2 linked regions of the Notamacropus eugenii genome follow. The protein of the gene in region 1 interacts with the protein of each later gene in a biochemical or structural test. Links are inferred from orthologs where the notes say so. Each region holds a gene or a part of one and is shown on either strand. Other genes may lie near its edges. The genes, in order: MYO18A and GOLPH3.

Region 1 (16,110 bases):
TATAAACCTATGTTCTCTTGACCCAGGCCTGGTTCCACTTGGCCAGGGTGGGATACCAAGCGAGCATCTCAGAATCTCCCTCCCCAATTAAAAAAAAAAAAAAGAAGACTCCAGTATCTCTGGACTGGAGGCAGCCTTGTGAGCTCATTCCATCCATCCTCCTGGCAGCACTCCTGACTAATCCAACTCCGAAATGGTTTGCTGTCATTTAAAGAGGTTTTCTCTCAAAGCGAAAGGGCAGTAGACGGTCTGGACTCTAGCCCTGGCAACAATATCTCTGGCTGCACAATCTTGGGAGAATCCCTCTGCCTCAATTTCTTTTTCTGTGAAATGGGGATGGGAGTGGGTAGGGGGTTGGGGAAGTGGACAAGATGATCTCTCAGGACTTTTCTAGCTCTAAAATTCCATGTTTCTTAATTTCCTTTGGACAGAAAGAGGGCACTTACTCACTCATCTGTCACCAAAGGCACCACCCTCGTGCCAGCCGCCAGGCCCTGGGAGAGCTGGGAGATTCTAATTCTGTTTCCACAACCCAGGGCCAACACCTCTTTTCCAGGATGTTTTAAGACCTCATCCACACCCATATCTGTTCCTCAGCCACCTCCCTGGTTTAGTCTTTGGGATTACGCTGGTTGATGTTCAAACAAGAGCAAAGCCTCTGATTTTACTGGCACTGGAAATGTCCGAGTAGAAGCTCTCTCCACCACCAATGCAGACCACCACCCCTCTACAGCTTTAGGAGGTCAATTTGAGGGAGATGCCTAGGATGTGGAAAGGTTGAGAGATAAAAGGACTTGCCCAAGGTCATACAGCTAGTGTTAAAAGCAGAATCTAGTTCCTGCTGAGTGCTTTCTCTACTCAGTTACACTGTCTTTCAGAACAAACTCCCTTCCAAGGTCACTACCCAACATGTGTTACCCTGATTAGAATGTAAACTCCTTGAGGAGTTTACTTTTGTGTTTGTAACCCTGATGTCTGCAGGAGAGGAAAGGGAAAAGGGAAAGAGGAAAAAACAAGCATTTATATAGTACCTACTATGTTCTGAGAACTGCACTAATTAAGCACTTTAAAAATATTATTATCATCATTATCATTAGTGTTGCTGCTGCTGTTGCTACTTGATCGTCCCCATTTTATAGTTGAGGAAACTGAGGCAGAAAGAACTTTAAGAAAAACTTGCCCAGGGTCACATAGTTAGGAAGTGTCTGAGGCTAGATCTGAACTCAGGTCTTCCTGACTCTAGCTACTGTACCACCTAGCTTCTTAGCACAGTGCCTGGTACACAGTAGGTCCTTACTAGATGTGTTTTCAGTCATTCATCTATAATACTGACTCTTAACATCTCAGACTTGGTGGGGACCTTAGTGGCCACACAGACTCACCCGTACCCAAAAAGCATCTTCACCACAACCCACCAGATGTTGCTCAGACCTTCTCTCGAAGACCTCCAGTAAGAGGGGACCCCACTGACTCTTAAGGCAACTTCATTCCACTTCTGGACCACTAGAACAGGAGTCGTCTCTCCTGACCTCAGGCCTAAAATGCCCATTTTGCAGATTCCACCCATCATTCCTGGACTGGCTCTCTTTGGCCAGAATAAGTACAATCCCCCTCTTCACAGAACAGCCCTTCAGGTATTTGAAATTAGTCAAGTATTCCACCTCCCTCATCTTAGCCCATGGTCTCTGCTCATCCTCATACGAGGTGTGGCCTTCCTGGCCAGCCCCCTCTTGATGCTACAAATGATTGATTCCTTTGTCCCCCATGAAGGGACCCCACTGTGGGCTGGGGGTGGGAGGGAATGGGCCTGCCTGCGAATTCCTTTTCCACTCTGGCTCAAAGAATGGGAGCTCTTGCTTCTTTGTTATACTACTTTGATCTGTAAGACCTCCTTCCATCTCTCCCAGCCTCTAAATACTTAATGAATCACAGAATCCCAGCCTACAGAAGCTAGAAAGGACCCGAGGAATCCTGGAATTTCAATCCTCATCCCCTTTTTTCAACATGCCAAGCCAACAACTATATTAACTTAGCATTGAAGCCGTGCCATGGGCTCCCAAGAGTCAAGTTAGTTAGTTTCCATGACAAGAGAATATGGTAAGAAGGCGAGAAAGAAAGAGGAACACAGAGCGCTCACAGAGAGGAGAGATCCCACTTGGATGGGGAGAAGGCTGAGGAAGCCATTTGCTCCATCATCTCACTGGCAATGGTGTCATTCCCATGATGCTTTCTGTGAGCCCTCAATGAAAAAGCTCATGACCCAATGGTCCTCTTCATCTATAAAAGGCCATAGAATTTTAAATAGGAAAACATTATCAAGAAAATGCTTCATCTTAAGACTGTTTCTACCTGAACCCCACCAAAATATAGGAGAAGAGGACAGGTAATTCTACAATCGCATTTGTGGAATATTCTCCAGTTGTTTCCCCTATACCCATCTCTTCTGGGAGGGCATGTCAGAATTGTGTCCCCAATTTATCAGTCATAGGAATAAAGATCTCAGGTCTTGAGCTGGAAGGGACTTCCTCTTTTTACGGATAGGGAACCAGAGGCCCAGAGAGGTAAAATGATTGCCGTTTGTGACCAGGTAGTGAGCATCACTGGCAGGATTTGAACTCAGATGCTCTGACTAGAGTCAGAGCTCTTTGAGTACTCTGAGAGGCTGAGCAACCAGGCCATGTTCAATCTTTATCCACCGCCCCCCCACTCCCAAATTCCAAATCATCCCTGTATCAGGCTGCCTGGTTGTGCTACATGACTTTAAATGAGGACAGATTTAAATGGGTCACCTTCCTGTTGGGGTGTCAGAAATCCTAGGGACAGAAGTTTATAGAAAAAGTCATCAGCCCCCAGGCCAGGGAGTACCTGGAATCTACTATGAGGAATGGGTCAAGGCAAGGACTACTCTCCAGGCCTCCCCTTCTCCATCCCTGTCCAGGCCTGACTCATAAATAAAAACAAAGGAAATGCTTTGCTCTCAGATGATGGGCCTTCCTTCCCTGGCCTCTGACCTGTCAGAGAGGCCATTTCCTCCAGCTCAGGGGATTTTTATCTCCCAGCTGTCCCCCACAGTGACCACTTCTCCAAACTGCAGACAGAGGTTAATCTCAACACATGAGCTGGTGAGCTGGCTAGAAGCGGCCCAGCCCAGCCTAGCCCAGCCCAGGGAATAAGGTGAGGAGGGGCCCACCTGGGCCTGTTCTGCTGAGCTCGCAACAGTCTGACTCACCACTCAGTCACAGGGTGCTTATCTGACTCCAGGTGTATTCCAAACCAACTACACATGTCTGGCGTGACATCAGCCGGCAACACGCTAGCTAACTTTCCCTGCCCCCCCCCCCCACGTGGGGCGCCCAGAGTCACAGCAGCCCCTCCCTGGCCATTTATTGCCACTCAGAAAGGGAAGGGACTGGCCAGACAACAGCCCCAGCCATGCCACAGCTCCCCACAAAGAATGCAAGAATCTCATTGGCCCAGCAAAGGTAGCCAAAGACCCTGTTTCCCCACTGGTTAACCTGCCTCTGTTTGGCTTCCTTGATATCTCTTCTTTCTCCAAATACTCCTGATCTTGGGAAAAAAACCCTGCAGGAGACTCCTAATGGAAATTTTCAAATGACAGCTCTGTCCTTAATCCAGTGATTTTGAACAACTCAGTTCCCATCCCTGTGCCTCGGTTTCCTCCTCTGTAAAAGGAGGAGTTGGGGGAAGATACTAGATTGTGGGCAAGACCAGCCATCTTTTCCCACCTCCTCATTTTGTAGGAGGCATCTCCCCGAGCCAGTCAGGAACAGTCAGGAACAGTCATTTGCCCAAGGTCACACATCTATATGTAGCCAGCACAAGAGTCAAACCCAAGTCTTCTGGTCTCTAACAATCTTTCTGGACTCAATTATCTCAAGCTTTCTGTCCAGTTCCATGACCTATGACCTCCAGAAGGTTCAACTCTACCAGTACCTGTTTTCAAAGGCTTAAAGCATCTTTCTTGAAAAGAATTCCCTTTGATTATTAACCATGATACATTCAGCACCTCCCCACAAAGCCCAGACATTGGTCCAAGGCATAGCCCCCAGACCTGGAAAGGGCCTTGGAGCTCATCTAGACCAACCTTTTCGTTTGACAAAAAGTAAGTAGTGGAGGAAAGATTTGAATACGGGTCCTCTGACTCCAAATCCATGGAGCTGGATGGGCCACCTAGTCTCATCCTCTCATTTTACAGATGAAGAAACTAAGGCCTTGGGAAATCAAACAACTTGTCCAAGGTCACACAGATATAAGCAGCATCAGAGGCAGGATCTGAACCCAGGTCCTCCCAGCCCAGGCCTGGAACAAGGGAATGCCAGGTCTGCCTCATCCTATTTCAATTCGCTGGGTGACCCTGATCAAACTCTGAACACCAGGTATCTCATAAAAAACCCGTTGCTAAAGTCTGCAAAATCCCCAGCAGAGAAAAAGAACCTTCAGCACCGCAGCTTAAACCACTGAGTGAGTAGAGGTTGTTTGAAATGTCAGGGGAACAGAGATAATTTACAGGCCGCACAATTCCTACCTCGAGACAAAGAACTGGTCAAAAAGATGGTAGCTGTGGAGGAGAAGGGGGGCTCCCACTCCTCTCTAGGCCCTCTCTGATCCCCTCTCCAGCCTGTCAGCCTCCAGTGATGTCCTACCCCCCTAAGAAATGTTCCTAAGCTTTCTCCTCAGACTGTCTAGAAACAGGAGGGTGGGATGTAAATTCAGATCCGAAGGAACATGAGGCCCACGACCAATCTGGGACTGAGAGCAAGCAAGCCCCCTGTCTCGGACCCTCCCTGTAGACAAGCCAGGAACAAGTGATTTGAGCAGCTCTGCTGCCTAGACCCATCAGCTGGGGCCAATCAGATAAATTCCCTTCTCCTTACTCACCACGCTCAGGTGATTACTTCCTCCCCTGGGGGGGGCCAAGGTACCCCAAGAATCTGGGGAGCCCTGGGGCCCCAGGACCCAACTGCCAGCAGTTTGGAATCTGGCCAGCAGGTCAGGAAAGCAGATCAGTTGGAGGCCTGTGGTCGTTCCTGCTGCTCAGCTTGGCCTGCTCCAGATGGACAGTGTCTGGCTGCAGACAGCCCTCTACTACACAAGGCAGGAAAGGAACCACACGCACACCAAAAAGCCCACCCCAGCATTGCCCTCTGAGTCTGTGACCCAGCACAGCAAGGAAGCATTTAGTCTTCCAGACTAGGCAAATAAAGTAAGTACTCCACCCCTCAGCAGGGTGGTTTCTCTCTTTAGGCCAGGCCCCAGCCTCCTGGCTGCTCCGCTCCACCCAAAACTCCCCTGGAAGGACCTGTGGGACTTCTGTGGGACTGGCCTGTCCCAGCCTCAGAGCCGTTGGACAAAGACCAGTAACATGGGCTACTAGTTTGGGCAAGAAGAGGCAATCAGAGGCAACAGAGAGAAACAGATACCCCAAGAAGACCATAACTGAGATCCTGAAGAAGAGAGGGTAGGGGTCAGGGAGCAGGACTTGCAAGGGGAAGAAACAAGGGATGGCACTGCCTTTCTTTGGATTCCTAGCACTTAGTAGTACCTGGCACATAGTAGGCACTGAAGAAGTGGTTACTGATTGACTGAGGAATCCAAGCGTAAAGTCTCCAGCTTCCTTCAAAGGACAATTCATCATGCCATCGATGTCCTATCTGACCCTTTCTTGCTCCCCACAATCAATCAGCAAGCATTTATGAAGCATCTACTATGTGCCAGGACAAATATTAGGTCTTGGGAAGACGGTGTCAATCTTTCATACAGGGACATCCAGGCCCTCTGCCCTAGACTGGGTGTTGGTGATGGGCCCAGTAAACAAACTGTAGGGCAGGAAGGTAGGCCAGCCAGGGGATCAGGCCACCCACAGTTCAAAGTTCAGTTCTTCCACCAGGAAGTTTATCCACAAGAACGCCCATACCACTCCTGGCACTGATGCCCCATTAAACCTTCTTCCCTTGATCTCGGGGCCTCTACCTATAGAGAAGGCACCCTCCTTCTCCATCCCCAGAGTCTCTCCTTTCACCCAACATGAAGACATCAATAGATGGGCAAACCTCCACCCAGTGCTATATTTAACTGGTAATGACCTGAAAGGGAGGCCATTTCCTGGAAAGCCTGAGATCGTGAACAAAGGAGCCAGAGAGGAAGCTCAAGAGGCAAACATCAAGAAGGAAGCCTTGACCAATGGAGGAGCCAGCCAAGAGCTGGCCAGAAGCCCCAGGCTCCCGACAAGTGCCAGCATGGGCATTTGCAACATCCCCAAATAGAAACTGGCCCCCAAACCAACAAAAATGGTGGCAGCAGCAGGATAAGCCCCATTGACATGGAAACAGGTCTGTTCACTGCTTAGCCCAGAAGAAAGAGTGGACCTCGAGGGTTTGGTTCACAAGTGCTGTATGACCTTGGACAAGTCATTTAACCTGTCTGGGTTTCAGTCTCATTGGTAAAATTAATTGGTTCATGAGGTCTCTTTCAGCTCTAAAACTATACTATAATGTGATCCTGCCCAAAGAAAAGACCAATTCTCATTCCTCAAAGAACAGATTGGCAGAAAGGCCCTGGCCAGACGGGACCCCACAGAAATGCCCCAAGCCAAGGGAAGCCTGTCAGGGTTCTGGGACAGCTGAGCTAGCCAGCAAAAACAAAGCACTGAGCATCATCAGCCCCAGTGCACTCTCTCCTTTGAGCTCCTGCTGTTCTTAAATAATCTGTAAAGAGCACATGTGTCTGGGAGATCTATGTGCCCATGTGTGCCCGCCCCCTTCTTCCCAACCCACTACGACAAAGCCAAACGTGTGTGTGCTGTATCTCCTTCTGCCCAAAAACATGACCACTCCTTGCCTAGCTTAGAATGGCAAGGAACCACCCCCAGGGAACCCCGGGAGGAGCAGATAACCCCCACGCCTGTCACCCAACTAACTGGCATGACAGGTTAGTGGGGCCGGTCTCTCACCCCTGCCCCAGGCTAGCCTGCTTCCCTTTCTTGCTCTGCCTCCTCTCTATCCTCTTTGAAAAGGTAAATAGGGAAACAGGCTGAGGATTCAGAATCCCCCAAGGCCCAAGGATTCCCCCAGCCATCTTTGCCTGTAGTGGGAAGCGGAGGAAGGGGGGCAGTGGGCATCAGGAACCAGGGTCGCCTTTACTCCATTGTTTTGCCAGCTGTCTGGCAGCTGCTGGGGGGTGGGGGGAGGGCTACACTGTTTTGGCAGTGAAAGGGTGAGGGCCGAGAGAGAGGATAATGGACTCCAATCTCATTTGCTTTCCCCCTCCCCTTAAGGCTGTCAGGAGAGCCTGGGCCTAAGGCAGTGCAGCCCCCTACTCCTAAGTCCCATGTACCCCCCACCCAGACTCACTAGGGGCCAGGGAGGGGAGGGGGCGACCTCACCGCCACCCTACTCCCACGCACGGACCATTCATACAGTACAATGCACACCCCCAGAGCTCCCTCCGAAATAAAGGGCACCCCCCGCCCAGGAGGAGGAAGGGGGCTGGGCGCCCGGCCCTGGCCGTCTGCCCCCCGCCGCTGCAGGACAGCGCCTGCCTCTCCTCTGCACCCTTCGGGTCCGAGGGCGTCTGCAGCCCAGTCCATGCCCGGGCCCGGCGCCAGGGGCCCGGGGAAGGACGCGCCGGCGTCTTCTCGTGCACTCCCAGCGCCAGAGAAGGGCAGGGGAAGAAGCCGGAGCCCGGGGGCCGCCGCGGCTTCCCGGGAGGGGGGGAAGGAGGAGAGGAGGAGGAGGAGGAGGAGAGGAAGGAGGGGAAGAAGGAGGAGGAGGAGAAGGAGGAGGAGCCCGTCCGCCACCCGGGCCACCCCCGGCTCCGGCTCTCAGGTTCTCCGGCTCCCCTCCCGCCCCGGGCCAGGCCCGCACTCACCGGCCGCCGGAGCCCGCCGGACGAGCGGCCAGGCAGGAGACGCAGGGACGCGGCATGCACCGGCTAGGGCTCGGGCCCGGCCCCGGCCCGGCCCAGCTCCAGCGCCGGCTCCCAGTCCCGGCTGCAGCGCACGCAGCAGACCCCAGCAGAGGCCAGCAGAGGCGCTCCGAGCGAGCCCAGCCGAGCCCCCGAGCCGCGAGGCGCCGCCCCCAGCCCGCCCGAGCCCAGCCCAGCCCAGCCCAGCCCAGCCCAGCCCTGCCCAGCCCAGCCCAGCCCTGGCACCCGAGCCCGGCCCCGCACAGCCCAGCGCAGCGCAGCGCAGCCGGGCCAGTTCAGCCCTGCTCAGGCCAGGCCCGCGCAGCGCAGCGAAGCGCAGCCCCGCCGCCCAGCCAGCCAGCCCTGCCCATCCTAGCCTAGCCCTGCCCAGCCCAGCCCAGCGCGGAGGAGGGAGCGCCCTGCTGGTCGCGCCCGGGATAAACACCCCGGCCGGCCTCGGGCTCCTCTCGGCCGTACGAGCACCGGGACCCTGCTGGCCGCCGCCGAGACGACAGGACCCAGGGCCGCGCTGCCCCTGCCCAAAGGGGACCGCTGGGCATTTCGTTATTGCCCGGGGCAGACAGGCACAGGATTCGTGCTGGCGCTGCCTGAAATGGGCATGGGCCCCGAGGGCACAGAAGGAAAGGTGTCTGTTTCGTGCCACCGTGACCCCTTTCGGTGAAGCTCCCTGTACAAGGAGACCAGCAGAGAAAAGCCCTCCTGATCTTGCTAGGAGAGAGGATTGGGAGTGGGTCAGGCCTTTCTTTGTGTGTATCGACTTAGAGAGGAGGGGGAAGGAAGCCCACTCCCCCAAAGCATCTACAGGGCTGAAGACATACCTTGATGCCGTTTCCCTTAGTGCCCAGAAGAAAACTAACCTGGGAGCTACCGCGAGATGAAAGGGTGCTACAGGCCGGGGTTGGATAGCACCCCTTGGAGCTGGACCAGGGGTTTTTCCAGGCTTGGACGAGCCCCATCCCGACAGATCAGAGAGTAGTAGTGAAAAGAGAACGGGGAGGGGTGGGGGGAGCCTTCTGCCTCTTTTTTTTTTTTTTTTTGGTTTGTTTTGGTAATTGAATAACATACCAAAAAAAAAAAGCTTAACGGATATGCATTTAGGTCATTTGCCCTGAGTTCCCTCCTGTCTTGCCATTGTCTCCTATACTCCTGTCTCTGATGAGCGAGGCCAACCCCTCCCTTAGTTCTGCTAATCTTTCCTGCCTCTCTGGCAGACCCTCCCCCCCTTCCTTAATCATCCCCTTTCCATAATCTTTAGTTTCTCCACATCTACCGTCTCCTCCGCCGCCTACAAGCATGCCCGTCTTTCCTCATCTTTCACGTGATGCTAATATCCCCTTAAGCTCTCACTTTTTACCTCTCTTTTCTTTCACTGCCGCACTAGAAAAAAGCTGGCTACACTCTGCACTTCTCACTTCTTCATCTCTTGCTATATGGCTTCCGTCCTCATTTTTATCACTGGACTGAAACTGCTTGTTACAAAGTTACCAAGATCTCTTTAATCACCCAGTCGAAGACCTTTTTCTCAAGCTTCATCCTTCTTGATTTTGCTTCAGTATTTCACACCTTTGATCATTCTCTCCTGTTACTCTGTCCTCTCTGGGTTGTTGTAGCCCAGTTCTCTCTTGATTTTCCTCCTTCCTATCCAGACACCTCTCTCTTTTGCTGGATCATCACCCATGTCCCACCTCCTGAGTGCATCCCAAGGCTCTGTCCTTTCCCTCTCCTTCCCTCTCTCTCTCTCCCTCTCTTTTTCCTTCTCCCTCTTTCCTCATATCCTATCTGTCTCTGTCTTTGTATATATGTGTGTGTGTGTGTGTGAGCATCCATGAATTAGATTCTTACCTTTTTGTAAGTGCCTCCCAGATCTCTGTAATTAGTCCTTGTCTCTCCCCTGATCCCTAGGTATGCATTGCTTATCACCTAGACACCTACTGGATATTTCCAATTGAATGTCACATAGGTATCTTAAATCCAGAAAGTCCAAAACAGGATTCATTATCTTTCTTTCAAAACCACTTTGCTCCTAACTTTTATATTTCTGTCAAAGGCATCATCATCCTTCCAGTCACTCAGGTTCCCCACCTCAATCATTGACTCTTTACTCTTCTCTGTCTCTCATAACCAGTCACCATCTTGACTCTTGTCTCTACCACTTCAACACCTCTGGCATCTCCCGCTTCTCTCCACTCACACAGTGACCACCATAGTTCACTTTCTCATTGCCTCTCCCCACTCAGTCTTCCATTCAGCTGCCAAACTGATATTCTTAAAGCACAGGTTTGATCATGTCACTTCCCTGCTCAAGAAACTCCAATGACTCAGTTCCATCCAGGATAAAATGTAAATCCTGTTGTTTACCTCTTAAAGCCCTTCACAGCCTGTGTCCAGCCCAGCTTTCCAGGCTGATTACACATTACCATCCTCCATGCTCATTCCAGCCAAATTTGCCTGCTAGCCATGTTCTTCATAACATACCATCTGCCACCATTCCTTTGCACAATCTGTCCCCATGCCTGGAATGAACTCTCTCCTCACCTCCAACTTTTAGGATTGCACAAGCTCCAGTGCCACGTCCCCCCAAGTTTTAGTGTGTGTATATGATAGCCCAAAAGTATTCATGCAGTTGTTTTTGGATCACCCTGTATTTCATATTTTATGTATATTCTATATTTACATTATATATTATACTTTTACCTATATACATATATATGTATGTTTGTTTAATTTGTGGATGTATTGTTTTCCCTCCCCATTTCCCCTCCCCTATTAGAATATAAGCTCCATGAGGTCAGGGACAGTTTAGGTTTTGTCTTAGTATTCTCAGTGCTTAACAGAGTGTCCAGTATATCCTAGGTGCTTAATAAAGGCTTCCTGATTTGTTTACTTCTTTTAGCCACAGATTGGCTATTTAGAGGGCAGCATGCACTTTCCTCAAAGCCCCATCTTACCTGAGCCCAAGGACCCATTTGAGGGTCCTCTAGAACCCCTGAAGATGATATTAGAAAACAAAGGATGGCTTCTAAACTGGTCTTGGTTCAGGCCTTTTAACTGGTTAATCTCAATTCATTGAGGATTTATTAAGCCCCTGCTGTATGCCAGATCTGAGGATAGAAAAATCTAGTTGCTGCCCTTGAGAAACTGGAGGGTTAATATTCCTCACTAGCTCTGTCAATGCCCAAATAAAAAAGATCAATGTCCACACTGCTGGAATGGGTATTCATGATTATCTAGTCCAGACCCCACACCCATTTGACAGATAAGGAAACTGAGGCATGGAGTGGTTAAGTAACCTAGGAAAGCCAATGTCTACTCACTGCCTTTATTTTCTCTATTCCCACTAACTTTGGAGCCCCTCTAAAGAAAAAAACAAACCTGGCTGTCAACTCAGCTGAAATTGATCTACATGAGTTCACCAATGATATCTTATTTGACGAATTTGCTGGGTTTTTCTCAGACCTCATTCTTTTTTTTTCTGTGTTATACAATCACTTCCATATATCTTAGATATTTTTCCCCTCCCTCCCCCTCCTTCCCCCCTACTTCCCCACTCCCTCCCTGAGATGGCATACAATTTTATATAGGTTCTACACATACATTCCTATTGAATACATTTTCACATTAGTCATGTTGCATAGAAGAATTAAAATGAATGGGAGAAATCATAAAACAAAACATAATACAAAAGAAAATTATTCGCTTCATTCTTCAATCGAATTCCATAGTTCTTTCTTTGGATGTGGAAGGCATTTTGCTTTAAGGGAGATCATTGAGAATTTTTTAAGTCCTTGCATTGCAATGAAGTACTAAGTCTACCAGAAAAATTCCTTGAACATTGTGGTTGTTGCTGTGTACAAAGTTCTCCTGGTTCTGCTCCTTTCACTCAGCATCAGTTCATATAAGTCTTTCCAGGCTTCTCTGAAGTCTTCCTGCTCATCGTTTCAGTAGTTACAGTAGTATTCCATTATATTCATATACTACAATTTATTTAGCCACTCCTCTATTGATGGGCATCCCCTTGATTTCCAGTTTTTATCCACCACAAAGAGAGCTGCTATAAATATTTTTGTATATGTAGGACCCTTTCCCATTTTTATGATCTCTTGGGGATACAGTCCTAGAAGCAGTATTGCTGGGACAAAGGGTATGCACATTTTTGTAGCCCTTTGGGCATAGTTCCAAATTGTTCTCCAGAATGGTTGGATCAGCTCACAGCTCTATCAACAATGAATTAGTGTTCCAACTCTCCCACATCCTCTCCAACATCTACCATCTTCCTGTTTTGTCATGTTAGCCAGTCTGATACGTATGAGGTGGTATTTCATCCAGACCTCATTCTTTCCAACTTCTCTACAGCATTTGATACTGTTAGGCACCCTCTTCTCCTGGATATGCTCTCCTCCCTGGGTGTTTGTGATCTTGCTCCCCCGTGGTTCTCCTCTACCTATTCTGACCGCTCTTTCTCAGTCCCTTTTGTTCGATTATGATTGATGGCCCACCACCTTTGCATGGGTAAGCCCAGGACTCTGACCTGGACCCTCTTCTCCCCTCTCTCTATATTCTCTCTCTATGTGATCTCAGCAACTCCTATTTGTTCAACTTTCATCTCTATGCAGATGATTTTCAGATCTACCCACCTACTTGTATACCTACCTATCTGTATGTCTATCCAACTATTTATCCATCCACCCATCCATCTATCCAACTATCTATCCACTATATATCATCTATTCATCCACCTATCTACCCATCCATCTATCCTACTGTCTATCCACCATATATTGTCTCCAACTATCTAGCTATTCATCTATCATCTATTTAATCCAACTATCTTTCCATCATCTGTGTATATAATATATAATATCTATAGATCCATATCTGTCTAGATAAATATGGACCTAGATATAGATGTTGATGTATGAATATACAAACTTTGTCTCTTCATTCTTACCTCCTTTCCCAAGAATCAGCATGGTATAATGAAAAATGTACTGTATTTGGAGTCTAAGTTCCTGGATTCAAATCCTATGTTCTGCTGTTTACTGCCTATGTGACCTTGGTCAAATCATTTAATTTCTCTGGGTCTTTGTTTCCTCATCTGGAAAACGGGGGTAGAGGATTGACCTCATGACTTTGACATCCTTTCCATCTCTAAATCTGTGATCCTCTTGGATGCCCTGTACTTGTCTTATACTTGCCATATACTAAACAGAATCATTCTCTTTCCACCACTGCCAAATCTCCTTTGATCTCAGCATCCATACTTCTATGAAGAACACCACCATCCCTCCGCTTGTTCAGATGGGCAATCTCAGAATCATGCTTGTTTCCTCTCTGACCCAACCTGTCCAATGAGTAGCCAAGTCTTGTCTCATCTACCTTTGCAACATCTCACATCACCCCGCTCCCACATGCTACCACCCTAATTCAGGTCCTCATCACCTCTCACTTGGACAATAAGAGCCTCCTACATGGCCTCCCAGGCTCCAACCTCTCCTTGACTCCAATCCATCTTCCACACAGCTGCCAAAGTGATATTCAAAATTGGGGATGTGACCATGATAGTTACCTCCTTCAGAAGCTCCAGCGACCCCCAGCTCTGTCTAGTGTAAAATACAAACTTTTCTATTTGGCATACATTAAAAACCCTTCCCAGCATGCCTCCAGTTGCCAGACTTACCACTCTCTTTCATATACTCAATGCTGTGGACCCAACATTTCCCTTCCAGGGTTTTTGCAGTCTGTCTCACACCTGGAGTAAAGCATTCCCTCCTGACTTCCCAATTCTTTTCATCTGTGACTTCCTTCCAAGCTCAGATCAAGGACAACCTCTTCCACCAGCCTTTCCGGATCTCCTAGGCTCCTCCCGCCCTTGCCTTCTGTAAGGAAGTATTTGGCTTATCTTTCATAGTTACCTATTCAGGTGAATGTTATTTGCCATCCAGAGAGTTCAAGGACCTTAAGAGCAAGGTCTTTTTCATTTTGTCTTTGCATTATTCCCAGCACCAAGTAGAAAGCCTGGCTCACAGTGGAATGAGTCAGTAAATAAATGGCACAGTGGATATAGGTCTGTGTCCAAACCCAACCTTTGACCCTTACTGACTGTGACTTTGGGCATGGCTCCTCTTGGCCCTCGTAGAAAATGAGACCATTGAACTACATGATCTCTGAGGTTAGTTCCAGCCCCAGAGATAGTGGTGGTAGTAGCATTAGTATTAATTATAGTACTAGTAGTGGTAATAGTGGTGGTAGTTTAGATTTTAGAATATTGTTTTGGTTGCTGTGTGGAAGATGGATTGGACTCAGGGAGAGATTGGAACCTGGGAGGCCATGTAGGAAGCTCTTACTGTCCAAGTGAGAGGTAATGAGGGCTTGAATTAGGGTGGTAGCTTGTGGGAAAGGAGTGATGAGAGATGTTGCAAAGGTGGATGAGATAAGACTTGGATTAGGATTGGGTAAGGATAGGATGGATGAGAGAGTAAGGAATCAAGCATGGTTAACATTAGTATTATCTGAAGTACTAATAGTGGTAGTGGTATTAGAATTAATAGTACTAGTGGTGGCAGTGGTAGTACTAGTATTAATAATAGTAATAATGGTAATATTATTGGTGGTGGTAATTAGTATTAATTACTTAATTAGTATTAATTAATTATTAAATACTACCAATAATTACTAGTGTTAGTATTAGTATTAATAACAATGGTGCTGTGGTAGAAGTATTAATTTTAATACTAGTAGTGGTAGTGGTGATGGTAGTAGTGGTAGTAGTGTTAATATAAATAGTAGTAGCAATGGTGGTGGTAGGGGTAGGGGTAGTGGCAGTAGTAGTGGTAATGGTGGTAATAGTAGCTGTAGTAAGTAGTAAAAACCATCCTCCATAAAATAATCAGCACTCTGACTCTGGCAGCTAGGTGGTGCACTGGACATAGCACCAGTGCAGGAGTCAGGAGGACCTGAGTTCAAATCTCACCTCAGACATTTGACACTCACTAGCTGTGTGACCTTGGGCAAGTCACTTAACCCCAATTGCCTCATCCTGGGTCATCTGCAGTCATCCTGATGAATATCTGGTCACTGGATTCAGATGCCTCTGGAGGAGAAGTGAGGCTGGTGACCTGCACAGCCCTCCCTCACTCAAAACAAAGTCAAGTGCAAGTCACATCATTATTTCTCTGATGGCATGGTCTTCTTCGGCAATGAAGGACAAACACACAACAGTACATAGAGTGTGGAATCAGAAAGCCCAGCATTCACACCTGGCCTCAGACATTTGCTAGCTATATGACTCTAGGCAAGTCTCATTTTCCTCATCTGCAAAATGAGGATCATCGTAACAGCCTCTATTTCCCAGGCTTGTTCCAAAACAGCATAAGTAAAGAGATTTGCCAGCCTTAAATTGCTAGCTACTATGAGTAAATTTATCTGACCACTGTCAAACTGCTAACAAACTGTAGTGAAAGATTTATGTAGTGAAGTAGTAACAAGGCTAGATTGTAGAAGGCCTTGAATGTCAAGCTAGAGAGTTTGCTCTGTCTCATGGGCCCTGGGAGACATTGAAGGTCTTTTAGCAGAGCAGTAATACAGTACAGTACTTTCGACCTCACCCTGAGAGTGTTTAAAGATGCAGGAAGGGTGGAAAGTCAGGAAGAGGAAAGGTGAAAGGGGGATGTGAAATTATTTCATCATATTCATTCTTCAAGCACAAGTTACTACCCCAAATAAGACTCCTCCCCTTTCTTGGTCAAACTCCTTGAATTTTTAGTAACTGAACAGATCCTGGAAGAGCAGGAAAGGACACGGAGACAGAGGACTGAGCTGACATTTGCAGTCATGCATTATTTACTTACTGATCATTAACTCCTTCGAGAAGTTCCTTGTGGGGGTTTGTACTGAGGATCTTGAGCTTTTCCACTGAGGCCTTTCATCTGTACTAACTTAGGCATCCAAGAGGCTCCTCAAGAGGACCAGAGGGGAAGGAGGACACAGTTAAATGAAGCAAGACTTTATTAAGGAGGTGCCTATCACAAACAGTGAAAGGCAGCCTGGTGGATTGGATCCAGAACCAGACTCAGAGTTAGGAAGACCTGTTTGTGTGACCCTGGCCAAGTCATTTGGCTTCTGTGTGCTCCCAAGCAATTCTTAAGATTATAAACTATAGTTGTTGAC
Region 2 (15,754 bases), on another chromosome or scaffold:
CCATCTACTCTCATCTTGGCATGTCAGGAACTCAAGGAGGTGGGCTCTCACCCTGCTGAAGAGAAAGATAATAAGAACCCTTGATATAGGATCAATCTCTAACCCCTCCTCCATAAATTCAGGGGTATCAAATTTTAATAAAATTTGTGGGACCACTAATCTGTACGTAAGGATCCCTGTGGGCTGCATACTGACTTAGTTTTAAAATGTAATGTTACACCAATTTTTTAAAAATGCACTTGGTTAAATATTTCCATTCCATGTTAATCTGGTTTGGGCTGCACTCAGAAATGCAGACCAGGTGTTTAATACCTCTGGGCTAATTCTTTACATAAAAGAGAAAAAAAGCTGACTCCCAAGACTTAATTGGACAGGGCCTCAACCGAAGCCAGAGAAATGGCTTCCTGGTGGCCTCAGACTTTGAGGGAGTGGCTTCCTGGTCAACTGTGGCATAAAAAGCCTATCCAAGGATTTGGTGGCTGTCCCAAGGACACACTTTGCCTGGCTGACCAGACTTTCCAGTATGGAAAAGAAAGGAGCTAATTTAACAGTGCTAAGTGTTGAATCACTGTATCCTTTCTACACAAACATTTGTAAATAACTGCGATTAGTTTTGGAACCAGGAAGCAATATCAGGTTTCTTCACAGAAAGACCACTGATCACTCTTCTTTTCTTAAGAAATAGTTTAGCTTAGCTAGCACAGTACCTAGTACATAGTAGGCACTTAGCAAATGCTAAATACACCAATGCGTACAGTTAAGCTTGCTTTATACCTATTTAATTAAAATACATGAATTTCAACATGTAAAACATCAACTTTTCAGTAAGCCCCTCTGAGTCTCCTACATTGGCTATCCCTAACCATTAATTGCCATGTACTTTTCATTTTATATGGCCAGTTGTTAAGGTACTCTGTTCTTCAATCAGAGTTCTTTCTACTAAGCCATGACGTTTCTCAATAATCTCTGGTTCTAGTCATCCAACCAATTCTGAACCCACCTTACAGTACTATCTTATCATTCAATCTACACACTTCCATTTGTGAGATTGTTAAATGTCATGCAGAGACCCAAGTAGTGTATATCATATTTATGGAAATCTATGAACCTAGTAACTTTTCTACTATGGGGGAAAAGATTGATCATCAAAATCAACTATATTAACCCTCTACAAAATTACAGCCTCTCAAAGCAATTCTCCAATTATGACTAGCGTTGAGATCAGCAAGGTATCTGGGATAGTCACAGCTGAGCAATTGTAGCATGATGGAAAGATACTGGATTTAAGAGACTAGGAGCCCTGGGTGTAAATTACTGCTTGTATGATCTCAGGCAAGTCGGAGAATCTCTCCTTGATTCAGTTTCTTATATACGAAATTAGAGGATTACAACTGCTGATCTTTTGGGTACCTGTGAGTTCTAAATCCAATTACTCTGATCATATCAATCACACTGAAAGCACTGCAACTCTTAAAATGAAGGAAATAGTTCAAATTACTTAAAGCCTGATTCTACCACTAAAAAATATTAAACTGTCTAAATTTCAAAATAGCAATTAAACAAAATCAAATGAAAGACTAAGGGATAAATTATCTTCATGGGAAAAATAAGAATACAGAGAAAGACCCAAAGAATTTAAGCCTTCACAAAATGAAAACAGACCAATGCAATTTCTCACTGGTCACCTCAAAACTAAAAGTTGTTTTAAATTGAATTTCAGAAAGAATTTTTACAGCTAAGCTCGGGGATAAAGGCCTCATTTCTAGAATATATAGAGAACTGACTCAAATGTATAATCATACAAGTCATTCCCCAATTGATAAATGGTCAAAGGATATGAACAGGCAATTTTCAGAGGAAGAAATTAAAGCTATCTATAATCATATGAAAAAATGCTCTAAATCACTGTTGATTAGAGAGATGCAAATCAAAACAACTCTGAGGTACCACATCACACCTATAAGATTGGTGAACAAGAAAATGATAAATGCTGGAGAGGATGTGGGAGAGTTGGAACACTAATTCATTGTTGGTGGAGCTGCGAGCGCATCCAACCATTCTGGAGAGCAATTTGGAACTATGCCCAAAGGGCTACAAAAATGTGCATACCCTTTGACCCAGCAATATCGCTACTAGGACTGTATCCCCAAGAGACCATAAAAATGGGAAAGGGTCCCACATGTACAAAAATATTTATAGCAGCACTCTTTGTAGTTGCCAAAAACTGGAAGTCAAGGGAATGTCCATCAACTGGGGAATGGCTGAATAAATTATGGTATATGAATGTAATGGAGTACTATTGTGCCATAAGAAATGATGAACAAGAAGACTTCAGAGAGGCCTGGAAGGACTTATATGACCTGATGCTGAGTGAAAGGAGCAGAACCAAGAGAACTTTATGCACAGCAACGACCACAGTGTGTGAGAGTTTTTTCTGGTAGACTTAGATTTTTGTAATAACACAAGAACTTCTTACAAAAAAAAAAAAAAATCCCAATGGTGGATCTCAAGGCAAAATGCCTTCCACACTCAGAGAGAGAAATATGGAAGTCACTCACATAATGTAGCAGATCATGTTTGTGTATGTGTATGTGTTTGTGTATCATGTTCTGATTTGTTATACGATTTCTTTCATTTATCTTAGTCTGACTACATAGCATGACTATAGTGAAAATATACTCAATAGGAAAGTATATGTAGAATTTATACAGAATTGTATGCAGTCGTGGGGAGGGAGGGGGGTAGTGGGGGGCAGGTGGGGGGGATAAAATCTCAATTGTATGGCAGTGATTGTTAAACATTAAAAAATAAAAATAAAAAAAAATAAAAAAAAAAATTAAAATCCCAATGGTGGTTCTCTAAGGCAAAATGCCTTCCACACTCAGAGAAAGAAATATGGAAGTCATTCGCAGAATGTAGCAGATCATGTTTGTGTATGTGTATGTTTTTGTGTATCATGTTTTGATTTGTTATATGATTTCTTCCATTTATTTTAGTCCGACTACATAGCATGACTATAGTGAAAATGTACTCAATAGGAAAGTATATGTAGAACCTATACAGAACTGTATGCAGTCATGGGAGGGAGGGGGGTAGTGGGGGGTAGGTGTGGGGGGGATAAAAATCTCAATTGTATGGCAGTGATTGTTAAACATTAAAAAATAGTTTAAAAAAATAATAATAAAATTTAAAAAAAAATAAATTGAATTTCAAACAAATAAATATAATATTTCCATAACATTATAAAACACTGGCTTTCTACTAAAGAGTTCCAAATAATTCCTTGTTTCCTTTGCTAGATCTTCAACCACCACAATCCCACTATCTGTGGTCAGTCCATAAGGCTTCCTTCAAAGGTTTCCTCTCTCTTACCTCTACACAAAATCACCTGGAGATCTCATCAGCTACCAAGAGTTCAATTATCATCCTCATGCAGATGGCTGATTCCCAGATCAATACATCTAACCCTAGTTGCTCTCCGGAACTCCAGTCTTTTGTCACCAACTGTCTCCAGAATAGCTCAAACTGAATAACCTATAATCACCTCCAAAATAGAACCCATTCCCTGTAAATCCTGCCACCTTGTGAATTTCCCTACTGCTGTCAAGGAATCCTCCCTGATGCCCAGCTTCACAATCTCAATGTCATCCTAAATTCCTTACTCTAATTCACCGCACGTATCCAATCAGTTGCTAAATTTTGTCCATCTTTCTCTCCACTCACAGTTACAACCCTAATTCAGGCCTTCATCACCTCTCACTTGGACTAGTGCAAGAGCCTCCTAATTAATTGGAATTCCTGCCTGAAGTCTCTTCCCATTTCAATCCATCCACTCCAAAGTGGCTGCCAAAGTAATTTTACTGAAGTCTAGTGATGATCATGTCACCCCCTACTCAATCAAGTCCAATGGGTACTTCTTACCCACACGATCAATTTCAGAATCCTGTTTGCTACTTAAAGCTCATCGAAACCTGACCCCTTCTACCTTTCCATTCTCCTTATATACTTTAGGAACCAGCCAATACTAATCCACTACTTGCTGCTGCTAACAGTGGCCATTCTATCTGGAGCCACAGTCTCCATGTGTTCTCCCTCCTCTGCCTTAACATTCCTGGCTTCTTTCAAGACTCAATTTGAATGCCACTTCCCCCAGAAAGTCTATCTTTGGTCTCCACTCTTCCTCAACCCCACTTCTTCACCCTCCACACCCCCAGCTACTAGTCTTCCCTTCCATCTTTTCCAGGATTCCTCGGCTATTAGAATTCAAGATCCTTAAGGACAAATTTTTTGAATTACTCAGTATTCCCAGCGCTTGGCTTACAGCAGAAGTTTAATAAATGCTTTTTGGTTAAAAACAACTCTTGTACAATACTGCATTTATTCTTTGATATTTATGAAACAGATAAAGAACAGGCATAACATACCCATCTATACTTGGAAACTGAAAATACACCAAGTTAAACTTGGTCAAAGACACACAGTCACTGATTCATAGAACTAAGGCTAAGCAAGAGAGTAGGAGGCACTGCAACACATTAGACCTAATGCTTTTAAGTTTTTTGTTCCCTACACCAGTATTCTAAAAGAATGGCAACATTGGTTAATGAAAACCAAAAAGTTAACACAGAATATTACCTATCTGGGATAAAGAAAGGTTAAATTAGGATAGAAAAACTAAAGCCTCAGTACAGAAATTCTATGCCCATGTTCATGAATTTTGAATAATTGTACGCAAAAAATAAAATTTACTGATTCTTCTTTTGAGTTTGCTCCTCAATACCGCAGGCCTGTGGTTACTATGTTGAGTTAAAATACATATACACTAGATTGAGATGTAGCACTGCCCTGACAGGGAGATAATTTATGTCTGTTTACCTCCTGTCTTGACCAAAATGTCACCAGAAATACAACTAAATTCTTTTAAAAAGTTCAATTCATAGTAAGAAAAATTGCAACACTCTAAAACCATTTCTTTTTAATATAGCACGGATTTTTAAAAGTCTTTTAACTTTACAAACTATTTTACTACAAGACCAAATGGTGCTTCCCACAATAAACTCTCCTTTAAGAAAATAATACCCAGCAAAAGTTTGGTGGTTAAAAAAATCTAGATTCTTCCCTATTTATCTCTTCCCATCCATTGACAAAAAATAAATCAACCAGGCAGGCTTATACGCAAAAGTACAGAAAACTTCCTGGATGAGCTTCAGCCGACTGGACAAATACAGACCTGGGTTGGGGGGGGAAGTGCAAGGCATTGATACTTTCAAACTGCCACTAAAATGGTTCTTGGTGTCTGGCGTCTAGAGCTTTCCCCTGACCTTTGAGATCTCCCTAACTTCTCTAACTGGGGTCAGACGGTTTCTTCCTCTTCCCAGGACCTGCGGCCGACTTAAGCCCTAGGAGTTGGGGGGCGGCTGGGCTGCCTAAGTGGATCACCCCAATTTCAAGGGCAAGCTCGATTTACCACGAGCACCGCGGAAGGGCTACGGGGAAGGCGCGGAGGGATGGTGGACAGGCGGGCATTACTAAGCAGGACTCCGGGCTAAGGAAGCGCTGTGGACTTAAGGGAATGGGAAGAAACGCTAAGCCATATGTCTGGAGGCCGGCTCAGCGGCAGCCCCCTCCCCAGGGCCGGGCCGCCCGCCCTCCGCGCCGGCATGGGGGCCGGTACCTCTCGGTCCTTCAGGCCCAGCAGCAGCACCTCCTCCATCAGGGTCAGCCGGGTTTCCTTGGAGTCGCCCTTGTCGTCGTCGTCCTGCTCATCCCGGCGGCTCTGCTCGTCGTCGTCGCCGCCGCCGCCCCCTCCGCCGCCGGCCGCCCGCTCCTTGTCGGCGGCGCTGCGCGAGGCCTCGGTGCGGCGCTGCACCAGGCCCGAGCTGCGCTGGGTCAGCGAGGTCATGGCTGCGGCCGGGGCCGCGGAGGTCGGGGGCAGCGGCGGGGCTGCGCGGCGGGACGCCTCGGCTTCGCTGCCCGCTAGCCCGCGACGGCCCGCACGGGCTCCGCTTCAGGCGCTGGGGCGACGTCCGGCTGCGCGGGCGCCCGCGGGAGTCATGGAGGATGGGCCTGGGGCGGCTCGCTCGGCGGCCGGGAAGAGGCCGGTGCGCGGGCAGGGAAGGGGCTCCTGCTCGCGGGGGCGGCGGCGGTGACGGGGGCGCCGAGGTGGAAGCGGCGGCCGCGACTTTCCCCCAATATGGCGGCCCGGGCTGATGTCACCGGAGGATGTGGCAGAGTCCGCCGGGGCTGGGGGGAGGGACCGGAAGAGGCGAAAAAGGACGGGGGTGGGGGTGGGGACGGAGGGGCGGGGAGAGCCCTGGGAGGGGGCGGGCGGGGGTCGGCCCGCTCTGTCCCCGCCCCCGCTTCCTAGCCCTGGAAGCCACCTCCCCCATCTCGTGACCGCCTCCGGGGTCCTCCTACGATCTCCCGCCCAGCTCCCCCGCTTTGGGCATGCGCTGGAAAAGTGACCCGGGCTTTCCGAGAACCGCGCGGAAATGAATCCAGCCTGCGCCCCTCCCCCGCGGCACTCTCTAGGAGAGGCGCTGGGAGGGCGGCGGGCGGGAAAGAGGAGGGGGGAGGGAGAGAGGGGTTGGGAGGGCGGGGCGGGGGCGGGGCGCTGGGAGGAAGGGCGGGGCGGGGGAGAGCCGCTGAGAGGGGGGAGGGGGAAGGGGGAGAGCCGCTGAGAGGGGGGAGGGGGAAGGGGGACAGTTGCTGGGAGGGCGGGGCGGGGAAAGAGAGTGGCTGGAGTCCACTTCAAAGACGCCTCTGAAACTTAAAGTAGGCGGAGTCTGGGAAAGTCAGTTACCTTCCCCCGGGTCAGTTTCCCAATCTACAATATGAAGCAGGTGGACGAGGTGGCCGCAGAGGTCTCTGCCACGTCTAGACCTCGGATCTTGTGATTTGTCCACTCAAGTCATGGCCCTGCTAAGATTTCCAGAAAGTCCAGGAGGATGTGTGGTCTGCTGGTCTAAATAAGTGCAAGAACTTCTGCCAGAGTTTACAAGCTTGTGAAATGTGGCTGTGCAAATCTTATCCCCATCTTCTCTCTTGTCCCGTAGAGCAAGATAAATTTCTATACCCCATTGCCTGTATTTCTTATTTCCTAGTTGTATGCAAGAACAATACTCAACAGTTGTTCCTAAAACTCTTGAGTTCCAACTTCTCTTCCTCCCTTCCTCCCCACCCATCCCCTTTGAGAAGGCAAACAATTCAATATAGGCCATATCTGTGAAGTTTTGCAAATGACTTTCTTAACAGTTGTGCTGTGTAAGACTAACTATATTTCCCTCCATCCTATCCTGCCCCCCATTTCTTCTATTCTCTCTTTTGACCTTGTCCCTCCCCAAGGGTGTTGACTTCTAATTGCTCCCTTCTCTCATTGCCCTCCCTTCCATCATCCCCCCCACCCTGCTTATCCCCTTCTCCCCTACCTTCCTATATTGTAAGATAGGTTTTCATATCAAAATGAGTGTGCATTTTATTCCTTCCTTGAGTCAAATGTGATGAGAGTAAGCTTCATGTTTTTTCTCTCACCTCCCCCCTTTTTCTCTCCACTGAAAAGTCTTTTACTTGCCTCTTTTATGAGAGATAATTTGCTCCATTCCATTTCTCCCTTTCTCCTCCCAATATATTTCTCTCTCACCCCTTAATTTCATTATTTTAAGATATGATCCCATCCTATTCAATTCACCCTGTGCTTTGTGTGTGTGTGTGTGTGTGTGTGTGTGTGTGTGTGTGTAATCCCACCAACTACCCAGATACTGAAAAAAGTTTCAAGAATTACAAATATTGTCTTTCCATGTAGAAATGTAAATAGTTCAACTTTAGTAAGTCCCTTATGACTTCTCTTTGCTGTTTACCTTTTCATGCTTCTCTTGCTTCTTGTGTTTGAAAGTCAAATTTTCCTTTCAGCTCTGGTCTTTTCATCAAGAATGCCTGAAAGTCCTTTATTTCATTGAAAGAACATTTTTTTTCCCCTGAAATATTTATTATACTCAGTTTTGCTGGGTAGGTGATTCTTGGTTTTAGTCCTAGTGCCTTTGACCTCTGGAATATCATATTCCATGCCCTTTGATCCCTTAATGTTGAAGCTGCTAGATCTTGTGTTATCCTGATTGTATTTCCACAATACTTGAATTGTTTCTTTTTAGCTGCTTGCAATATTTTCTCCTTGACCTGGGAACTCTGGAATTTGGCCACAATGTTCCTAGGAGTTTCTCTTTTTGGATCTCCTTCAGGAGGTGATCAGTGGATTCTTTCAATATTTATTTTTCCCCCTGGTTCTAGAATATCAGGGCAGTTTTCCTTGATAATTTCATGAAAGATGATGTCTAGGCTCTTTTTTTGATCATGGCTTTCAGGTAGTCCCATAATTTTTAAATTATCTCTCCTGGATCTGTTTTCCAGGTCAGTTGCTTTTCCAATGAGATATTTCACATTATCTTCCATTTTTTCATTCTTTTGGTTTTGTTTTGTGATTTCTTGGTTTCTCATAAAGTCATTAGCTTCCATCTGTTCCATTCTAATTTTTAAAGAACTATTTTCTTCAGTGAGCTTTTGGACCTCCTTTTCCATTTGGCTAATTCTGCTTTTGAAAGCATTCTTCTCCTCATTGGCTTTTTGAGCCTCTTTTGCCAATTGAGTTAGCCTATTTTTCAAGGTGTTATTTTCTTCAGCATTTTTGGGGGTCTCCTTTAGCAAGGTGTTGACCAGCTTTTCATGCTTTTCTAGCATTTCTCTCATTTCTCTTCCCAGTTTTTCCTCCACCTCTCTTACTTGATTTTCAAAATCCTTTTTGAGATCTTCCATGGCCTGAGACCACTGAATATTTATTTTGGATGTTTGGGATACAGAAGTCTTGACTTCTATGTCTTTCCCTGATGGTAAGCATTGTTCTTCCTCATCAGAAAGGATGGGAGGAGATATCTGTTCACCAAGAAAATAACCTTGTATAGTCTTATTTTTTTTCCCTTTTTTGGGCACTTTCCCAACCAGTTACTTGACTTTTGGGTTCTTTGTCAAGAGTAGGGTATACTCTAGAAATCTGTAAGATCTCAGTTCCTCCAAGGTGGCACAATCAAGCATGTACACTGGTCTGGGAGATGAAATAGATTTTTGTGCCCAGAATCTTAGCAGTTTCCTCTCCACAGCCACCTGGCCTCCAGTTCCGCTGCCATTCAGTGTGATATAAAGATCAGCTCCCTCAGGGCCTCTGCACAGGGCTAAGGTAAGAATCAGCTCCTCAGTGCCCCCAGGGTTTTTGTGATCCAACAATGGATACGGGCTGCTGTAGGGGCTGCTGTGGGAACTGCTGCCACCTGCCCAATGTGGCCTTTGCAGCTGCTGCCTAAGGCGGGAGCTATAGGAAGGCCCTTCTCCCTTCCTTGCCAGCTGAAAAAACCCTATCACTGACTTTGGGCACCTGTGGGTTGAGGGATCTGCGGACCCGCTGCTGCTGTGACTGAAGATTCCACCCCCGAGGTGTCCTCCTCCCAGAGCCACCCCGCACTGCGTGGCCAAGGCTGGGCTAGGCTCTGCTTGGTGTCTGGTGCAACAGATGTTTCCCATGGGCCTTTCAGGTCACTCTGGGCTGGAAATCTCCTCCACTCTGTTGTTCTCTACTTCTGCTGCTTTAAAATTTGTTGAGAGTCCCTCTCTATAGGTATTTTATGGGCTGTGTGGGGAGAGCCTGCATATGTGTGTCTTTCTAATCTGCCATTGTGGCTCTGCACCCCCAACCATATTATCTTAAAAGTAAATTACATAAATCCTTTTTTAATTATTTTCTAGTAGTTAGAGAAAAAGAAAAATCCAGTTCTATATCTATCAGACTGACAAAAGTTGACCAAAAAAAGGAAAATGACAACTATTGGAAGGTCTTCAAGGGAAAAACTGGAAGGTTAACATACTGCTGATGAAAGTATGAACTGATCCAGCCATTCTGGAAAATAATTTGTAACTATACCCAAAATATTACTAAACTGTTCATACTCTTTTGACCCAGCAATAAGGTTCATATCTCACCTCAGACACTTGACACTCACTAGCTGTGTGACCTTGGGCAAGTCACTTAACCCCAACTGCCTCATCCTGGGTCATCTCCATCCATCCTGATGAATATCTGGTCGCTGGATTCAGATGGCTCTGCAGGAGAAATGAGGCTGGTGACCTGCACAGCCCTCCCTCACTCAAAACAAAGTCAAGTGCAAGTCATATCATCATTTCTCTGATGCCATGGTCTTCTTCAGCAACAAAGGACGAACACACCACTACTAGGTCTACGCTCCCAAAGGGAAAGCAAAGGAAAAGGATATGTATGTACAAAAATATTTGTACTGATTCTTTTTGTAGTAGTATAGAGTTGAAGACTAAGGGGATGCCTATAAATTGGAGAGTGGCTGAAGAAATAGAAATATATAATATACAAATATAATGAAATACTGTTGTGCCATAAGCATTTCTGAAAGCAGCAGTTACAGAAAAACATGGAAAGACTTGTATGAATTAATTCAGAATGAAATGAGTTACACCAGGAGAATGGCTTACCTAATAACAACTTTGTAAAACAAGCAACTTTGAAAGATTTAATAATTGTTATCAATGCAGGGTTCAACCAAGACTCCTGATAACATATGATAAAGCATACTACCTTCCTGCATCTTGACTGAAAGGATGGTTTTCCAGTGCAGAATGAAACATTTTTTTTTGGATTTGGAGAATACAGAAATTTGTTTTGACTGTTCACATTCATAGTTTTTCTTTTTATTATTACTTTTCAGTGAGAAGGGGGTGTGAATGGGTAGGAGATAAAATTGATGTTAGTTCTTTGAAAATAAGTGTTTTGATCTATAATCCCTTATTCCATCTATGACCAATCTACTTACTTGATATATACATAACCATACATACACACACACAGACATATACAGAGCGGGGTGGGGGGGAAGGAAAACTTCTAAAACGTTCAATAAACATTCTTGAGAATCTATGAGAGGACATGGACAGGAATAGGACAGAATCAAAAAGATCAATTATGATATCCACATTGATAGATCACAAATCCATTGTACCATTAAGGTATGGTACATGCCTCATATTTAAATTCATACTATTTTAGAGCTTAAAGGAACCTTGGTAGATGTAGTCTGACTTCCTAGCTTGACTAATGAGAAAACTGTGATTCAGAGACGTGCCCAAGGTCACACAGCTAATTAATGGCAGAGCTAATACTAGAACCCAAATTGCCTGACTCCCTAATCAAGTGCTTTCATGACACCACATTGAATTCTTACTTAATTTCATTAAATGTATTTGTATACTTTAAATACCTATATGGTTAATTAAATTTTAAGTTCCCTATAGTTTGCTAGGAGTTATAGCCCTTTTGAATGTACAGCCTACCCTAACGTGACAGGACAATGAGCTAAGCTCACAATGTAATAATGTAATCATGGGAGTGAGCAGGATTGTAAAGGGAAAACTGTGTAGCCTTTATGATTTCAAGCTGTTCTGTGACACAATCTCATTTTTTTAAATACTAGCTTTCTTCCTGTGAGATAGACAACCCTGATCACTGGGGTGGATGTTATACAGGAAATAACAGTAATTCATATTTATTTGTATAGCGTTTTAAGGTTTGCAAAATGCTTCACACCTCTCTCTTTTGAGCCTTACAAAAGCCCTGTTGTGAAATAGATGCTATTAGTATTTCTATTTTACAAATTAAGAACCTGAGACTTTCTCACTGTCACAGTGTCACTCAGCTAACAAGTATCTGAGGCAGGATCTGAACAGAGGCCTTTCTGATTCTAAGTCCTTAGATAAAAACTTTTCTTGTTTTCTGTGCTAATGACAATGTCCCTTATACTAGAAATGACAGAACCAAAATGGCTAACAGGAAATCAATACACAAAATAAGGAGATAATAGCACATCTAATTGCCCTTGATCGATCAATCAATGAATCAAAAAAATATTAAGTACCTACTATGTGCTAAGCTAGGTTACAAATATAAATATTGTATTTTAATATTAATAAATAATTAATAAATAAATATTATTATGCTTACATTCTTATGGAGAGACTGCTAGAGAATAAATGTTTGTCCTTCATACTTGAAGGGCACTAATGACATCATGATGTTGGGGTCAAGGTACAGTGTGACTTAATGTGGCTGATCAGACTAACATGAACTCGGAAGGCTCTCCCACAGGGCAGGCACAAATAGTCTGAATATTTAGGATGGAGATGCCTGTAGATTTGTACATCCTCTTGATGCTACTACAATTCTGCTTTGCTCACAGAGCACACACCTTTGATGAAGGCATGTCATAATGGGCAGTCTTGTGCCACTGTCTCCTATGTCTTAAACTGACACTAAAGTTCTTCAAAGAGATCTTGAAAGTGTCCTTGTATCACATCTCATGATGTCTGTGTGACCATCTGCCTTGTTCGAGTTTTTCATAAAATAGTCTTTTAGGTAAACATATGTTTGATGTTCAGGCTACGTAGTCATCCTATCAGAGTTGCACTCTGCAGTAGAGTTTGAATGCTTGGCAGTTCAACTCAACAAAAGACCTCAGTGTCTGAAACCTTATCTTGCCCGGTGACCTTTAGAATCTTCCTAATACAATTCAGAGGGAAGCAGTTCAATTTTGTGACATGGTACTGGTATATTGTCCAGGTTACAGAGGCATGCAATAATGAGGTCAGCACAGTGGCTCTGTACACCTTCAGTTTAGTGGATAGCCTAATACCCCTTTACTCCCACACTTTGAGCTAGTTCTGGCTATGGGTGCATCAACCTCATCATATATGTATATATTCTTGGAAAGCGTACTGCCAGTGTAAGTGAACTTATCCACAACATTCAGAATTTCTCCATTTGCTGTAACTGATGATTTCACATATGGATGGTGTGGTGCTGGATGGCGGAGGATCTCTCTTTTCTTAGTGTTGGTTGTCAGGTCAAAATTAGCACAGTGGCAGAGATTCAATCCATATTCTGTTGTATATCAGTCTCAGAGGCTGTGGCGAGCACATAATCACCTGTGAACAAAAAGTCATGAACCAACTCTTCCTTCACTTTAATCTTGGCTTATATCCTTTTCATGTAAATAATTTACTGTCAGTGCAGCAGCTGACCTTGATACCATTTTCATCCTTGTTGAAGGTGTCTGACAGCATCCTGAAAAACATGATGCTAAAAAACTTGGGAGCAAACACATAGCCCTGCTTCATTCCACTGGTGACAGAGAAAGTGTGAGAGCATCCTCTTTTATCCAGAACATATACAAGCATGCTGACATGGAACTGGCATAGAATATTGATGAACTTCTCCAGGCAACCAAACTTCACCATGATCCTCCACAACCCCTCACAACTGACAGTATCAAAGACTTTAATCAGGTCAATGAATGTTGTGTACAGACTTCTGTTCTGCTCCTGGCATTTCTCCTGGAATAGTCAGGCAGCAAACACCATGTTGACTGTTCCTTGGCCCTTTCTGAAGCCACACTGGCTCTCAGGTAGATGGCCATCTTCCAGGTAAAGGATCAGCTGATTAAGAAGGACTCTGGCAAGAATCTTGCCAGTATTAACTAAGAGATTTTCACAGGACAACCAGTTTCCTTTTCCTTTATAGACATGCACAGCAGAGGCATCCTTGATCTCCTGGAGGATAACCTCCTCGTCATAAAACCCAGAAGAATTCAATCCACTTCTGTATGAGCAGTGGACCCCCAGCAGGCATTTTGCCACATCAGAGGAGCCTAATGGCATTCAAAACCTCTTCTTCAGTTGGAAGTTTAGCTAGCAAGGGATTGACTCAGTGGTTTTAGCATTGAACACCATAGAAGTGTTTTTAGCCCATCTCTCCAGGATCATGTCCTCATCATTGATTAGTGTGGCTTTATCAACACTGAGAAGTTGAGATGCACCATAGGTCTCTGACCCGTAAATGTCTTCAGGGCTTCATAGGTCACTTCGGATTGTTGCTGTCAGTGTAAAACTGAATTTCATCTGCCTTTTTACTGAACCAAGAATCCTACATCTCTCTAAACTTTGCTTGCACTTTACTTTTGTTACAGTTAAATGTTGCCTTTTTAGAGAGGGACAAACCATCTTACTGATAAATCCTGTAGAGTTCTTTTTCATTTAGCAGTTTCTGAATTCCCCCATTATTTTCATCAAGCCAGTCTTGATGTTTTTCAAGTGTTCTGGCCCAGGTGAACAAATGCAGTGCTGGACACTCACTCTCTGAAAGCTGCCCACTCCTTTTCTGCCCCACTGTGACTAACTGTGTGCTGACTCACCATTCTGTCCAGATCAGTTACAAACTGTTCACACTTGAAGTGCTTTAATTTGTTGATGCTGGGTCTCTGGATGCCCATCTTGCCTAGGGTCTCTGCTATTGCTGAATGGGAATGGTTAGCTAGGAGGGGATAAATTGAGTACTCTACACCACATAGCACCTTTGTCAATCTCAGATCCTGCCTCTCTCTTCTCACAATGATATAGGCTATTAAATGCTCCTAGGATGTACCCATGACATTTTGTTGCTTTTAGGTAAACAGAAGACAGTGTTGGTGATGAGATGGTCATGAGTCTTCAGTAGTAAGTGACTATCCAACTCCATTCCTCCCAAAGACTCCCTGATATGTTTGATGGTCTATGCCTTTTTTGGCTTCAAGTCATCTAGAATGATAAGCTTATCCTCTTTCAGCACATTGATGATGAGGGTCTCCGGGTCTCCACAAAATTTTTCTTCGACCTCATCAAGGTTCATCATGGTGGGGTCATGCCCACTGATGAGAGTAGCGTGTTATTTTCCTGTATGGCAGTCACATTGTCACGAGCCTGTCGTTCACTCCTTTCAGGAAGCATACAAGCTTGCTGACTAGATTAGATCTGATTGCAAAAGTTACACCAGCTTCACAGCATTCCTCCTCACAGCCAAAAAATGTGCATTCTAATTCCAACATCAGGAAGCTGGCCTTCATTTATCAGCCTTGTTTCACTCAAGGATTTGAATGCATGTCACATTTGGATGTGTTACCTGCTGAGTTCTCTCACAAGAGTTGTTCATCTTTCAGGTCTATTGGATTTTGTGTTTTCTGTAATCACATACACATTCCACATACCAATGGTGGGTGATGTCATCTTTGCAAAAATTGTTGAACATTTTTTTGTGTTTCAACCATAAGGAGGGATTGCTGCTTGCTGCAGTAAGCAGGCCATGGTTGTATGAAGCAGACAATTTTAAGGTTACCTTTTATAGCCCCTTTGTCACACCAGGAGTGTGCAGCTTAAAAAAAAAAAAAGCTGCTCAGACACTCAGGGGTCTGCCAGATCTCACTGCTGCTTCGGTCTAGTGAGAAGACAACCCTGTGTCCTGAGCAGCTTGTGTGCAGGGCTGACTACAGCTCCTAGGGTATCCATACTTGCTGCTTCATCACCCACCCATTACCACAGGACTTCAAGGTAAGTAAAACAGTAAGATAGTAAAATAATAAAATAGTTAAATAGTTAAATGTGTTGTTCAGTTGTATCCAACTCTTCATGACCCCATTTTGGAGTTTTCTGGGCAAAGATACTGGAGCAGTTTGCCATTTCTTTCTCCAGCTCACTTTATAGATAAGGAAACTGAGGCAAATAGGGTGCAGTGGCTTGCCCAGGATCACACAGCTAGTAAGCGTCTGAGGCCAGATTTTAATTTAAGTCCTCCTGACTCCAGGCCCAGCACTCCATTGCACCACCT

The links.
Region 2: the proteins of MYO18A (region 1) and GOLPH3 form a complex in vitro, tested with the Homo sapiens proteins (2 studies listed by IntAct). The link is inferred for Notamacropus eugenii from reciprocal best matches to the Homo sapiens genes MYO18A and GOLPH3.

The regions. Positions count from the first base shown.
Region 1 is NC_092873.1:36,661,898-36,678,007, forward strand, and holds the start of MYO18A (unconventional myosin-XVIIIa), read right to left. Parts: upstream 8,104-16,110; 5' UTR 7,888-8,103; intron 1-7,887.
Region 2 is NC_092875.1:429,089,321-429,105,074, reverse strand, and holds the start of GOLPH3 (Golgi phosphoprotein 3), read right to left. Parts: upstream 6,051-15,754; 5' UTR 5,903-6,050; coding exon 5,675-5,902; intron 1-5,674. UniProt on the Homo sapiens protein: Phosphatidylinositol-4-phosphate-binding protein that links Golgi membranes to the cytoskeleton and may participate in the tensile force required for vesicle budding from the Golgi.